Linked DNA regions of Pelodiscus sinensis. The protein of the gene in region 1 binds, or shares a complex with, the protein of each later gene. Links are inferred from orthologs where the notes say so. Each region holds a gene or a part of one and is shown on either strand. Other genes may lie near its edges.

Region 1 (7,230 bases):
AGTCTTCTTTACAATCACAACAGATAAATTTATGTAAACTTAAAATAATTCTGCAACAAATTCCACAGCCCACTGCAGCATATATTAGACCTCTATCTTTCTGTCTCGTGGATCCCTTAGGAATAAGCAGCCTGTTACAGAATGACTTTTTATGCACATCATCCATTTTTAACATGTGGACTGAGGTTTGATCCTATCAGAGTTTGCACTGCAGTATATTGCGGGATTTTCCTCTTAATAGTGGGTTATTTTCCACTAAGATAAAGGTTAGTTTTCTATTGGGAAAAATGGCTCTTTTCACTATGCAAAATATATCACAGAAGTTTGGATGCTTCTTTGCTCGGGATTCTCCAAAATATCTTTTGAACAACAGACCACATTTCTAGTTTACCCCACTGGATTTCATACTAATCCCATGGATTGAACAGACGCAAGTGTGTCAGAAAACAGAGTTATGTGGTCCTCAGTGAAATATGATACATCAGTTCCAATACTCATGATACATCTAACTCAAAGATGGTATAGAAGAGAACTGTCCAACTTATCAGTTACCTTTTCAAGTGTGTCCTGTCCCCACTGTCTGAGCTTGCCAAGGATGATGTGTCATAAGAGTGAGTGTCAATGTTATCAACATTTAATAGAGAGGGATCCTCAAGAATGAAAGACTCTTCTTCATCATCAGTCTGAAACAAAAGCAACAATTTGATAAACACGACAGACAAGACAGACTGGAAATGACTCATCTCTAATGGAGTTCTCGGGTCATGATTCCTTGCACTGAACATTCAGATCATCCAGGGGTAACCTGTTTTTCTTGGAATACCCATATTACTAGTATAGATCCCCACTGCTGGAATCTGACAGGGACTGATCCTCAGAAGATGCTGTGGTCAGAGTCTAGAATGTGCAGTCTATGTTCAAAGTGGAAATTAAGAAGTCAATTCTTAAAGGTAAATAAAGACTGGAACAGATTATTAAGGGATGTAGTAAATTCACAATCACTTGTAGCGCCTAGAATACACACCTGATGTGACCCAAACACCACACTATCAAACTGTATTTATCCATTTATAACATTTACCTGCACACCAAGTGTTCTGTGGCTATGTATTTTCTTCATAAGTATGCCCAATTGTGTATCTACCTACTTGTAAATATTTTCTAAATATACAAGTATTTAGAAAACATAGATCTTAGATATTAAATATGGCATCTTCTGAGTAGAAAACACACAACTGAAGTGTATCACAGTGTTCAGAGTTTACTTGGTGTGTGTATTTTGCCAACTGCAGAATAAACTAAATAATCCATTCTGACATCACCGTTTAGAGAGAATTTATTAATATGAACAATTCTGTCTAGTTTCAATATTTTGGAAGCCTGCCATATATGACAAAACACACTCACCTCATTTAATATGCTTTCCAATGTTGGAGGAGTATCAACCTGGGGAATATCAAACTCTTTATCGTCTATCTAAATAAAAAAAAAAAATTTAGCCTCTTTATTCAACCTTCCAAACGTACATTTTACAGGGACTCAAAATGTACTGTATTTAGCAATTTTCTGGAGATCGACTGGAGTATGATGTGCAGTAGAACTTCAAACAGCATCATAACAAACTGACTAGTCAATCACACACCTCAACTGGAATCAGACACACGTGATCAGGGAGTGGCCGAGACCAAAAAAAGGCAAATGCAGTACAGTACCATGTTAAACTACTTTAAAAAGGGGGGGGGGGGAGGAGCAACATTTTTCTTCTGCATAGTAAAGTTTCAGGACTGTATTAAAATCAATGTTAATTTGTAAGCTTTTGAAAGAACCATAACATACTATTCAGTTATGAACAACCTCCATTTCCAAGGTGTTTATAACTGAGGTTCTAATATAACTTCACATTCAGATGCCTTCAATGCACTCTAAATTGCTTTGCAGTGGTCTGAAGGGACAAGAAAACAATCCAGTGTGCCATACATACTGTAATGTTAGGCTGTTCAATTATTTGTTTGTTTCATTAACTCCTCAAACACCAATTACTTCGTAAACTAGAGGTTCTACTCTAGTGTTTCCAACTGAGATCAGGTCCCTGATGTGCTAGGTACTGGTCACACACATAGTAAGGAAGTTTACCTCCTTTACTGTGATATGCATATCCCTGGGGGCACTTGTGAGACATCTCTGGGAAAGCCAGCAGTTAATTTAGTTCAAGATGTACCAATGGGAACACAGATAGCAGAGATGCGGACACACAGAGCCCTCACCTCCAGTCAGTACAGTGGGGGTTGCGTTGCCCAGCAACTGTCCAGACTAAATGAGACGAGAACCTCCACAAGTGAGGGGGGTCCTGACTATGCTGGGCTACAAGTATCTGCCCCCACACGCGGCTGAGCGCAGGCAGGGCGCGGACAGGCTGTCGGTGAGCAGGCGGCGGGCCGATGGGCAGGAAGAGCCCAAGTTTCTGCGGCTGTGGCTGTGCTGCAGACTCGCGTCTTTCACCAGAGGCTCCAGCCGGAGACCCGCCCCTGCCCCCGGGACACAGCGCTCAGCAGAGCAGCGGCCGGCAGCCGCGGGGCGCAGACTGACCCAGGCCCGCAGGAGCCAACAGCGCGCGCGCTCAGGGGCCTCCCCCCCGGGCCGCGCCTCCAGCCGAGCGCCCCCCCCCCTCACCAGGTCGCCGCCCGACTCCAGCTCCCGGTCCAGCTCCGCGCCGCCCAGCTTCGGCAGCAGCACCTCCTGGCCCGGCAGCGGCCCCAGCTCCTCGCCGGGCCCCGGCAGGGGGGCGCCCGGCTCCGCGCCGCGGCTCTCGGGCTCCATCTCCAGGCCCGGCTCCCTCAGGCGCGCGCCGGGGGAGCAGCGCGGGACCCCGGCGGGCTCTAGCGCCTGAGGTGGGAGGCAGCGGCACGAGAGGCCGGGGAGGTGAGGCCACGCCCCGCCCTCACGCGTGAGGAAATATCGGCTCGTGGAGCAGCCGGGCTGAGGACCCCGCCACCGGCACTAGCCGAATGACCGCTCACTGCGCATGTGCGTCTCCAGCCAATCTCCTCTGAGGCCAGAGAGCAGCAGCTAGTCCGCCCCGCCCCCATTCATACACACTCGCTTCCACCATGCGCCCATGCACACCGCCCCTGCCGCTTCCGCCACGCCCCTTTCGCCCCGCCCCCATGCACACCGCCCCTGCCGCTTCCGCCACGCCCCCAAGCCCCGCCTGCGGCCGCACCACGCCCCCATTCGCGCCCTCTAGCCGCCCGCGTGCAACTGGCCTCTTGTGTGTGCAGCGTCCGTGCGGCCAGGGCAGGGCCTGCCGCACCCCGCGTGTCCGGGCAGGGCGCACCGCTGCTCCTCGCTCGCTGCCCCCCGTTGGCTGAGGGAGCCCGCAGGAGCTCGCTGGCTGCCTGATGCTTAGCTCAGGGCCTGCCCCGCGCCCGGCCTCAGACCTACTAACCCCGCTCTGAGCTCCGGCTCCTGGCTCTGCCCCCGCCCGTGGGGCCGGCCCGTTGACTTGGCCTGCAGACTGTAACTGGGTCTGACCTTGCTCCTTCTGCTAGGCCTGGCCGCTGCTCTGCGCACAGTCAGGCCACCCACCTGGCTGCTGGCAGTTGGGGCAGACCAAACTATCTGAGACAGGGCCCAGCCTGGCAGCGACTGCTGCTCCGTCCCAGGAAAAGAATTTCCCTGTTGGAGACAGCAGGTACCCTACAGCCCCTGCACATGAGCTAAATGCGTTGCAGGCTCAAAATACGGTGATACACAAACAGGCCAGGTTATGCTTAGCCTGTCTTCCCATGAGTCAGAGTCCCCTACCTGACAAGGAGCTTCAGGGGGTTGTTAGAGTGCTCTGGGAAGCAGTAGTATCCACAGCCCAGGGCTGTGGTTGGTCAGACACACTCAGAAACAGCAGGGCCCACACCCCAGGGCATCAGCTTATAAGACACATGGCACGGGAATGGGTAGTGCCCACACTTTGGAGCAGGGATTGGTCAAACATGTATTTGTGATGTTCTGCTTAGGACAAGTAGAACCATAAACCACTGTGTTACCCCTCTGACTTCATAAGTCAGCTCCCTGCCATACAAGTCTGTCCACATCACCAGAAAGCCCCTTCAGACTCTGTCTAAATCTTGCCTTGCAAGAAACGGTTAACCACAGTTTCTCAGAGATGTCTCCCTGCAATGTGCATTCCTTCTCACTAGACAGAAAATATTAAATCTGCTGCCTGTAATATAATAATAATAATATATGGAGATATACCATCTCATAGAACTGAAAGAGATGGTCATCTAGTCCAGTCCTCTGCCCTCATGGCAGGGCCAAGTACCATCCCTGACAGATTCGCCCCAGATCCCTAAATAGCCCCTCTCAAGGATTAGGAACTCACAACCCTGGGTTTAGCAGGCCAATGCTCAAACCACTAGGCTATCCCTCCCATAGCCCCAACCAAGAAAGAGCATACATCAGCCTAGATGCACATATCACTTTCACAAACCAGCACTAAAATGATTTATAGTAAAACCAAGAATGAGTTTATTAAGAACAGAAATTAAAATGATACATCTGAGATCTGACAGGTCTGATTGCAAGCCAAACTCATTTTCTAGCGACTACAACTTTATCCTAGAAAATTACAATACCCTTTCTCATGTATTTACCAGTATCTCTAGTCCTTCCACCCATGGGACTCAAGATTCACAGACTCAAGAGTTGCCTAAATCTCCTACGTGATGGATAACTAAGGGGTTCTCTTCCCTTTTTTTAAGTACCAGTGAACCTTTGAAATATATTCTTTGAAGTGTACACCCCAGAGAGTTTTTCTCCTCAGCTGGTATGCAGAATATGCCATGCTGTCCTTATCCTCTTACTAATTGGCCCTTTCTATTAGTTTGATCACTTTATTTTAGGCACAAATGTACTTTCACTGTCTCTAAAAAGGCCTCTGCTCCCCTTGGGAAGCCAGTGTTCTGGTCTCTCTTGGAAAACCTGGCTCTAAGTTGGAAGGAGACAGGGTTACCTTGGGTGATACTGAAGTGGCATGTGTCTCCACTCACAGTAATGTCAGCTAGTGCCTTTGATGCAAACATCTAGTAGGAGAGAGAGAGATCACGTTCTCACCCTCCTAGTACTACATACTGCTGTATGTCTTTGTTCACTCCCCTGTGCTAGGCCAAGCAGGGAAGCGGCTCAGAGTGAAAAGCTTTGGTTTGGTTTATTAAAGAATTCTCCAAGCGTGACCCTTTAGTTTGCTCTATCATGTCAAGACAAAGGGCCAGATCCTGAGCTGTGTAACAATCCTTTGCATAGTGCAGGGCTACTCAACTTTGGAAGCCTCAGGGCCCACAATGATACTCACAGCACATGCCGAGGGCCGCAACTTAAGTGTGGTTGCAGATACATGTAAATATATATGCAAATAGCTTCTTTCATACTAACAGGCATGAATACAAAGATTAAGGCAAGACTACAAAACGCATAGGCTGTTTAAGTCAGTTCTGCTGATATTAATAAAATGTAATAGTTACCCAATTTCCACCCATCTGACAGCACTTTTAATGAGCAATGACAGTCCAGGAATTTAACTACTAAAATGCATCTCAACAGAAGACCATATACTGACTACTTTTTTGTTGAGCCCTGTGTAAACCCAAACCGCATCGCGGGCCGCAAACAGATGGGCTGTGGGCCGCATGTGGCCCGTGGGCTGCATGTTGAGTAGCCCTGGCATAGTGTTTCTGTTGCCAGTGAGGAAAGTGGCATCTGGACCTCCATTGGTGTTAAGAACAGGGGGTGCCTGTCACAGAACTATTGACTCCACTCAACCACACTGGGCGGAGAGAGCTGTTGTGGACAGCGCTGTGCCGCTTAGAGAGAGCCAAGACGAGAAAAGGCTCTGAGAAATTTGAGAGACTACGCAGGTTTGACTCCACTGCCTCAGAGGCCTTCCAGAACTCTTGCACAGGCTGAGAGAAATAATCCAAAGTATACTGTGCGCCCCCCCCCCCCCCCAACAAAACAGCTGGAAATATCAGAGACTGAATTTTTCATTAATACTACTTCATAAACACATTAGTTTTCAGAGGGGGGAACAAATGCAGAACAGTATGCAGAAGCAGCATATTTACAAGACAAAACGGCATCTCTTTAAAATTCCTCTTTCACTTCAATAGCAATCCCAGAAGATTAGGGGCACATTAATCTACCAAGGAGGAAAAAAAAGATAATGTGCAGAAGAAAAGATTTAAACAGCTTTTAGCAACTTCAAACAGATCTGTACAACTAGTGTAAGATTAATTTCAGTTTTTACATCGCTGAACAAGGTGCAGTAGAATGAAAGTGTCTTACATTTTCACTGCTCTGTGCTTATTTATTTACTTTAAACGTATACAGCAATAGATAGTCAGAAATCTATCAGATTTCGTAAAAAGTAATTAAAAATCTAGATCTTTGTATGCTTCTGACTTTCTTTGCACTTGTGATACTCAGTTTAAGCTACTTGGACTTTCAAAAAGCCTTTGATAATGTCTTGTGAGGGACTTTAAGAAAACTAAGAAATCAAGGAGTGAGAGGCAAAATGCTAGCATAGGTCAGAAACTGGTTAAGCGACAGAGAATAGAAGGGATAAATGGATAATATTAAACATGGCCAGGGCTCGACAAATAGTGTAATCTACTCGCCCGTGGTGAGTAGATTACACCCCGGAAGAGCCGGCACCGAGCGATCTGCACATGCCCAAAACGATCTGCGCATGCACAGAGTACAGAACCGCACAGCAAAAAGATACATGGCAAAAAGATAAAGGGAGGCATAAGGCTTTGTACCAGCACCAGTCTAGATTAATATATTTAATCTGAATAATGTAGCAAAATTAGCAGATGATTCAATATTAGGCTTTTCTAGTCTTCACTGTGAAGAAGCAGAGGGAGGGACTCAGCCGAGCTATGGGAACACGCATCACTATGGCAGATGAAATTCAATGTTGACAAATAACGAGTAGTCCTGTGGCACCTTAGAGACTAACAAATATATAGGATCATGAGCTTTTGTGGGTAAAACTCACTTCATCAGATGAGTTGGAGTTCAAATAACAGAATCCAAGGTGTGTATATACCAGCAAAAGCAGTTACCTGTTAATTGTAGTACTCGTGTTAAAGAAGCTAATTAAGTGGGCTGGATGTGTTCCATTCATCGCTTGTTATGTGACAATGTGAATGTCAAAGGCAGGGGAAATGACGACAA
Region 2 (7,323 bases), on another chromosome or scaffold:
TCTACACTAACCCCCTAGTTCGAAATACTGCCAGGGACTTGTTTTACTGGTTACTGGTGTCTGACCAGTCAGTACTTATCCCATCGTTTCTAAAACTTTCTAGCAACCCATGTTACCTCTATAACTGAATGGAAATTTGGCATATGTTCCTTAGGTCGGTGAATCCATCTTTATAGTGTAAAGAATCATGCTAATCTTTGCTATTATATAAGCAGTTATAAATGAGATAGGCACTTGTCAAATATTAGAAGTCATTCCTTCTTTGTAGTTTTATCCATGTATCATTTTAAGATCCTAATTCTGATAACACTTATGCATGAGCTTAACTTTATTACTATGAATAGGCTTATTTAAATTAGTGGAATTACAGTAGTACAATTAAGCACATGCATACATGTTTGCAGAATCACAATCTAAGAGAGGACACATGCCATTTATTTTCTAAGTAGTTGTTATTTATAAACTACTCAGAAAAAAAACCAAGTATTTTTCATTGTATTTTAAATGTTTGCCTTGTTTTTCAAAACCTTAAGATATCATGTTCTTTTAAGTCATTGTATTTCTCCTACCCACAGCAATTTAAAAATATTTATTAAAAAAAATACATACTAAGTGAAAACAAACCAACCTTTCCATACATTTATCAAAGTACCTTCAGTTCCTAGTGTAAAAAAGTTTAAACTTCAAAGTATTTTAATATAAAGAACACTGTAGAACCATTAGCTCCTTTCTATTTTATGTTATTTTTACATAAATATTTCTCTATGAATCACATATTACAGTAAAACTCCATTGCTCCGGCATCCAATGCTCTGGCACTCCTGATGGTCTGGAACCATCGGGAACCTGGGAGTGCTCCAGGCAGTCCGACAATTGGAGCTGCTCTGCCCCAGGCGTCTCCGATTCAGCCGCTGCTGAAACTGACCAGCAGCTGATTCCAGGAAGCCCGGGGTAGAGCAGCTCCAATTGTCCGACTGCCCGGAGCACTTTCAGGTTCCCGATGGTTCCAGACCATCAGGAGTGCCGGAGCATTGGATGCCGGACCAAGCAGCTCTGCCCCGGGCTTCCTGGAGTCAGCCGCTGATCAATTTCAGCAGCAGCTGACTTGGGGACGCCTGGGGCAGAGCAGCTGAGGTGCTGTCGGGTTGGTCCCGTAGCGCCGCCCCTCAGCACTGCAAGACCAACCCAGCAGCACCCCAGCTGCTCTGTCCCAGGTGTCCCCAAGTCAGCCACTGCTGAAATTGATCAGCAGCTGACTCCAGTCAATGAAGCAGGGATTTAAATATCCCCCGCTTTTATCAACAAATCCAGGTTGTGAAATGAGGTTTACAGGAACAGTCGACAAAGGCTGCCCTGTCGAAAGATCCGCGTCTTGACTGCTGCGCTGTGCCAACGATCAGGTGAGCCAGCACAGCATGGCAGCCATTTTTATTTTAATGAAGTGGGAGATATTTAAATCCCCGCTTCATTGACTATGTCGGGTAGTCTAATTTACATGCCTCTGTCGGCATAGGCATGTAGTCTAGACATACCCAGGATGTTTGACATTGAAGTAAATAGGTCTGGATCTGTTGATAAAAATTATCTTTGACTACTAATATTTGATGATTTGCAATAACCAAAAAGGTCTGGCTATTGTGAAGTACAATAGACTCATAGACTCATAGACTTTAAGGTCAGAAGGGACCATTATGATCATCTAGTCTGGCCCCCTGCACAGTGCAGGCCACAGAATCTCGCCCACCCCTCTTAGAATAATCCTCTCACCTATGTCTCAGATATTGAAGCCTTCAAATACTTTGAAGGCCCCAACATGCAGAGAGTCCTTCAGCTGTGATCTGTGCCCAATGCTACAGAGGAAGGCGAAAAACCTCCAGGGCCTCTGCCAATCTACCCTGGAGGAAAATTCCTTCCTGACCCCAAATATGGCGATCAGCTAAACCCTGAACATGTGGGCAAGACTCACCAGCCAGACACCCAGAAAGTTCTCTATAGTAACTCCTATCATCCCTCCATTGACCTATTTCCAACTGATAATGGTCAATTAGTTACCATGATCATGTTATTTCATTCAACCATCCCCTTATCATAGAATCATAGAACTGGAAGAGACCTCAGAAGATCAAGTCCAGCCCCCCGCTCTAGGCAGGACCAACCCCATCTAAATCAAATAATTGTTCACTGCTTTGAGTTAGTACTATTTGAACAAAAATGTCTACAGCAAGAATCTTCCTCTTCACATAAATCCTTTATCAACCAGTTTTCATAAACATTTGAAATGGAGTCTTTTTTTATTATTATTTTTTACAGGCCCCTAATAAGGCTGTAAACTATAACTTAGTTAACTTATGCTAGATCAAAGTTTGGGGCCAAGGCAGAGCTTCAGGCAGCTCCCAGAAGTGGATGGCATGTCCTGTAGTGGCACGAGAATAATTTTTGGAGTAATGATGCTGAGCTGCATCCCCCTTACCTCCGTCCACATCCCAACTGATCCTTAGAGCTGTGGCCAGCAGCTGGGATCCTACAAATAGGGTCGGTGTCCAAAATCCTCATTCTGGCAGCTAGGTGGGATCCTGCAAGCTGGGCTCAGCAGCAGGGCCAGTGCCCAGCAGTCAAGTGAGACCCAAGGCCATGGCTGGCCACCAAGAACATTCGCATGAGGACAGTAGCTGAGCGGGGCTCAGAAGTGGTGGCCAAGTCCCCGAGAACAGGACAAGCAGCCAAGTGGGAACCAGGGTTGGACACCGAGACCATTTGTGTGGTCACAGCAGCGAAGTGGGACCAAGGGCCTGTGGCCAGGTCCCTGAGAGCAGGGCCAGCAGCTGAGTGGGACAAGGGGTTGGCTGAGAATCTTGAGCGTGGGAATGGAAGCTGAGCAGGGTCCTGGGCAGGAAGTGAAGCCTGCACATGGGATGCAGAGCCCCCGGATATTTGGCTCCTTGGGACAGAGATGGCGAAGGGGCATGACTGTCCATACGGGGCACAGGGCTGGGGCAACCCCTTTTCTCCCAGTGGCCCAGGTGTGGCACTTAGCCTAGGGCAACCTCCCCGCTACAGGCCCCACACTAGGGGCAGGGGCAGTGTGCACAGACCCCCTGTTACTACCCCTGGACCTAGGAGCTGGACACGGGGGCACGTAAGCTCTGGGCGCGGCAGGGAGGCAGGGGCCGGTCTTCGCCCTGCTGCGCCACCCACTGCACTTGTCGAAGTTCTGACCCGCGCCCGCACAGCGCCCGGCTGCTGAGGACGGGGGGGGGGGGGGGGCGGGGCGAGGTCTGGCCGGAGCGAACGTGCAGGGCACCCGCATGAGGAGCGTCCCGTGCGTGCGGGGCGCTGGGCAGAGGGGCGGGGCGCGCGCGCGCGCGCTGCGTGAATGGAACGCCGAGGGAGGACGTGCTTGCGGGGGGGAGGGGGGGGGAATAGTGAGTGTTGGGGGATGGGCTGAGTACGGGGCGGGTCTGCGGGATACGCGCCCACGAAAGTCAATGGGGGCGGCGCCTTTTCCTCCCCTTGCCCTCCTCAGGCCCCGCCCTTCCCGTGTCCGGCGCCGCTCACGTGACCGGAAGGAGCGTGAGGAGGGGGGCGGGGAGCCGCCCCCGGAGGAGGCAGGGCGCCCGGGCGGGCCGCAGGCGGAGACCCGCCGGCAGTAGCGCGGCGGGGGCCAGGCCGCCCCGGACCCGGCCGTGGCCGCCCCGGTAAGCGCCGCGGGGGCGGACCTGAGCCCCCCTGGGCCGGCCCCGGCCTGTGTCCGGGCTGCGGGCGGGGGCTGCAGGAGCCATTTTGTCCGGCCGGAGCGGCCGCTGTCCGGGCGCGGGGGCCGCGCTGGTGCCCGAGGCGGGCGGGCGGGCGGGCGGGCGGGGGGTGACTCCGGGTCGCTGCTCTGCCCAGCGCCAGGCCGGGCGGGGCGGGCGCTCCCTGCTGAGCGGTGGCGGGCGCAGGGGTGAGGGGACCGCGTCTGTCTGTCTGTCCGGCAGCCGCTGGCGAGAGGGGCAAGCCCAGGCAGAGCCTGTCCCCGGGGCACGGCTCTGGAGGGTGAGCAGCGGCCCGCAGCGTCGGGGCCCGGCAGCGTGAGCCCCGAGCGCCTCTGCGGTCAGAGGGCCGAGCGGGAAGGTAGCGGCTTACGGATCGTTGTAATAAAGCCCCCAATCCAGTGTGTCAGGGGAGCCCATGATGTTTGGTGTCTGGCCGAGTTGTGAACTGAAGCCCTCAGGCTCGTCTTCTGAAAGGGATGTGCCGGCTTCCTGTGCTCGTAAGGGCCGATAGGAGAGTTACGATGATGCTCGCTTTTTGTGAAAAGTGTTCCCCCACAGGTGACAGGTGTGTCTGTTTTGTTCAGTCACCTGCCTTGTATGCCTGAGATTTGAGGACCGACAGGGCTACACCCAAACTGCACTACATTGTACTGTACTGACTAATCAATGAGGCAAAGCCTTAAGCAGGGTGAGGCTTTTCAGTGATGTCTCCAAAATGTTTTTAATTTATAGGGTCAAATATTGTATTTTTGTATGTATATTGAATATCTAAGTAATGGGTAACAATAGTAATTGCAATGGATGGTAGCATGTGCCACTTTTAGGGATTATGCTATTGATGTTCAATATTGAACAATTTCCCTTGCTATTTCTGAGAGAGATGGAATCTGGTACTTACAAGGAATAGCATATTCCAAGATACCTATACCAGTGCTATCTGCTTAAAACACAACATGTTGCAAGATGTTTAATCAAAGATACATTTAAAAGATATAGCATACTGGTTGTGTTTAAGTTGAAAGAAACTTTCTCAACAACCTTATTCTTGGATATATAGCCAGATCACTTATTTTCTGTAGACACTAAATCTGTATAGTATTACATTATGGTTTTTGCCCAGGATTTGCATGATTTAATTTTAGCAGCACAGGCTACTGGAGGATTCTAACTAGTTTGATTATTTGCATATTTCTTTGTATATCCCCTTTATTCTGAAGATGTTTTTAAAATTGTCTTGGTTAGAACCAGACTTGTACTTGGTTAGAACCAGCTCTCCCACTGGCAATCAGCATTTTTTACCCTTGGCTACAGGAACTTTGACTGAATGTTGACAGCCAGAGGTAAGAAGGGCAGTGTAAAGTTTAGGGGCTGGCTTTTCACTGTAGGCTACAAGCTATTTTTCAGACTAGGTAGCTAAGCCCATGGCGGGAGGAAGGGGAGTGCAGATATAACCAAAGTTTAGATTTAAAAACCTAAATACATTAAATTATGCCCTAAAGCTATTTTTCAGCGTCCAACTAGAAATGACCTGTTTTTCAAAGGTCCTTAGCACTTTCAGTCTGCTGTTATAAATTGAAGTTGTAGCTGTATCTTGTCTTAAAATCAGGCCACTTCTATGCAGATGATTAAAAATGGATTTTAGCCTAACTTTAATGATCCAAGTTTGAAAACATTGGCCCAAAATAGTTTACCGTGGTGTCTGACAGAGCTTATGCTTTTCTGTGATCTTATGGTTTGAAAGTATACTGCATTGGGAATACTGATGGAAATTTTCCTATTTAAAGCATTAACATTTATGTTCTGGATGGTGGATAGTAATGTTTAGATGGTGCTGGTTTTCTCAAATTTGTGCAAACAAATGTTTGGGACCTAAGCATTTTATTTGAAATGTTGTTGTTGTTGTTGTTGTTTACCTCTAAGCACTTGTGGATGAATAATCCTTACTAGTGACTTCCCCCACAGGCCTGTAACTCTCTAAAATGTTCAGTGTAGCACTGTACACTGCCTAAAGAGCAGTCAGAATTCTCAAGTTTTAATAACACTCTTGAGGGAGATTGTGCTAGACTCACGTGGTTTAGTTTGTCACTCACTTCCGCTCCCTCCCAAACTTTCAAGGATGTGGGAGAACTGCTTTCTGGTGGTTCGTGCTTTAGGACAAGGACCTCTTCAAGTACGAAAAGCTAGTCAATACTCATATTTCATCAGTGATACAAATGCTTGTTTGCCTAACATGCTAAATGGGGAATTAACTTTGGAATACTAAATTTAATTTGGATGTGCAGAAAATATAATTGATAGCAATGTGGTCAGGTGTCAAAAAACAACACTGAGTTGGAGCCACTCTTAGGCTTCATCTACATTGTAGGGTTTTTGTGCAAGAAGCCTTTTGCGGAAGAGTTCTTCCGCAAAAACTACTTGTACAAAAGCGCATCCAGTCCTCATGGACACTTTATGGATACTCTTGTACAAGAAAGCTCTGATGGCCATTCACAGAATGGCCGTCAGAACACCTGTGCTTTTTCGGATAGGGGTTTCTTGCTCAAGAAACCCCTACAGAGCATCCACACTTGACTTTTCTGCACAAGAGCTCTTGCTCAAAAAGGAGTTATTCCTCGTGGGGAGAGAAATAACTACCGCCAAAAGCTTTCTCTTCTGCTGATTTACTTGTGCAGAAGTGCGCTTGAGGTGTGAACCCTCCACCTTGTAGTGTAGACATAGTCTTAAAGTAATTGTCCATATGTAGGATCCCACATAAATCATGATTTCTTGGAAATCACGAAAATACCCCACAAAAATGATTTTTCCTTTTTTATAAAAAATGGAAACTGTTAACAATAAAACCTGCAGTACAAAAAAATTATTTACAGTGCTATGCTCCTATATCATTCCACCCTTGAAACTGAATAAACTTAGTAGTAAAATTAATTCCATGCAAATTTTTGTGATTTTAGTACTTTGTTATTTACACTATAGTGAATTTTCTAAAAAAGTAAAATAAACTGATTACACAGGGCCTGATCATGAGATTCACATTCTGAAGATCTGTCAGAGAAAATGCTCGTAGATAATGGTTCTGAAGAGTGAGGTGAATGAGCGTATTAATGACAAACAGCTCTGAGAACAGGGAACAATACCTGTTAAATTTTTGTGCTGTTGACTTCTAAACCTCATGAGAACACTTTGTGGGCTACATTTTCCAATAAATTGGGCATGCAGTTCTGTGGGTAAATCTACTAATTGCAAATGCAGATAGTCAAATGGAGTGCAGAAATAATGGTGTCCTTAATTTTTTCTCTTCTAGTGAAATTGACTATTTCCACTTAAAACTTAGTTACTGTGTGAGAGTACCATATGGCTCTTTATTTTTGTGCAAAGCTCCCATTATCTGAGAGATGCTATGGATTGCATGTAGTAATATTAATCTAGCTTTAATTCAAGCCCCCAGGCTACAATTCAAAATATCATTTGCCCTTCTTAAAATGAGTTTTGAGAGATTGGTATAGAATAAAAGTACCAAACTCTTTCAATATATTGGAACTTGTAAATTGCTTTGTTGGTTATTATGAATTGC

Evidence for each region. Proteins that work in one complex are often made in the same cells at the same time.
Region 2: VPS8 (region 1) and TGFBRAP1 share a complex: the UniProt entries of both Homo sapiens proteins name them as parts of the putative class C core vacuole/endosome tethering (CORVET) complex. The link is inferred for Pelodiscus sinensis from reciprocal best matches to the Homo sapiens genes VPS8 and TGFBRAP1.

The regions. Positions count from the first base shown.
Region 1 is NC_134720.1:3,949,790-3,957,019, forward strand, and holds the start of VPS8 (vacuolar protein sorting-associated protein 8 homolog), read right to left. Parts: upstream 3,021-7,230; 5' UTR 2,818-3,020; coding exon 2,671-2,817; intron 1,477-2,670; coding exon 1,408-1,476; intron 684-1,407; coding exon 553-683; intron 1-552. UniProt on the Homo sapiens protein: Plays a role in vesicle-mediated protein trafficking of the endocytic membrane transport pathway.
Region 2 is NC_134711.1:233,363,922-233,371,244, reverse strand, and holds the start of TGFBRAP1 (transforming growth factor-beta receptor-associated protein 1), read left to right. Parts: upstream 1-4,302; 5' UTR 4,303-4,418; coding exon 4,419-4,440; intron 4,441-7,323. UniProt on the Homo sapiens protein: Plays a role in the TGF-beta/activin signaling pathway. It associates with inactive heteromeric TGF-beta and activin receptor complexes, mainly through the type II receptor, and is released upon activation of signaling.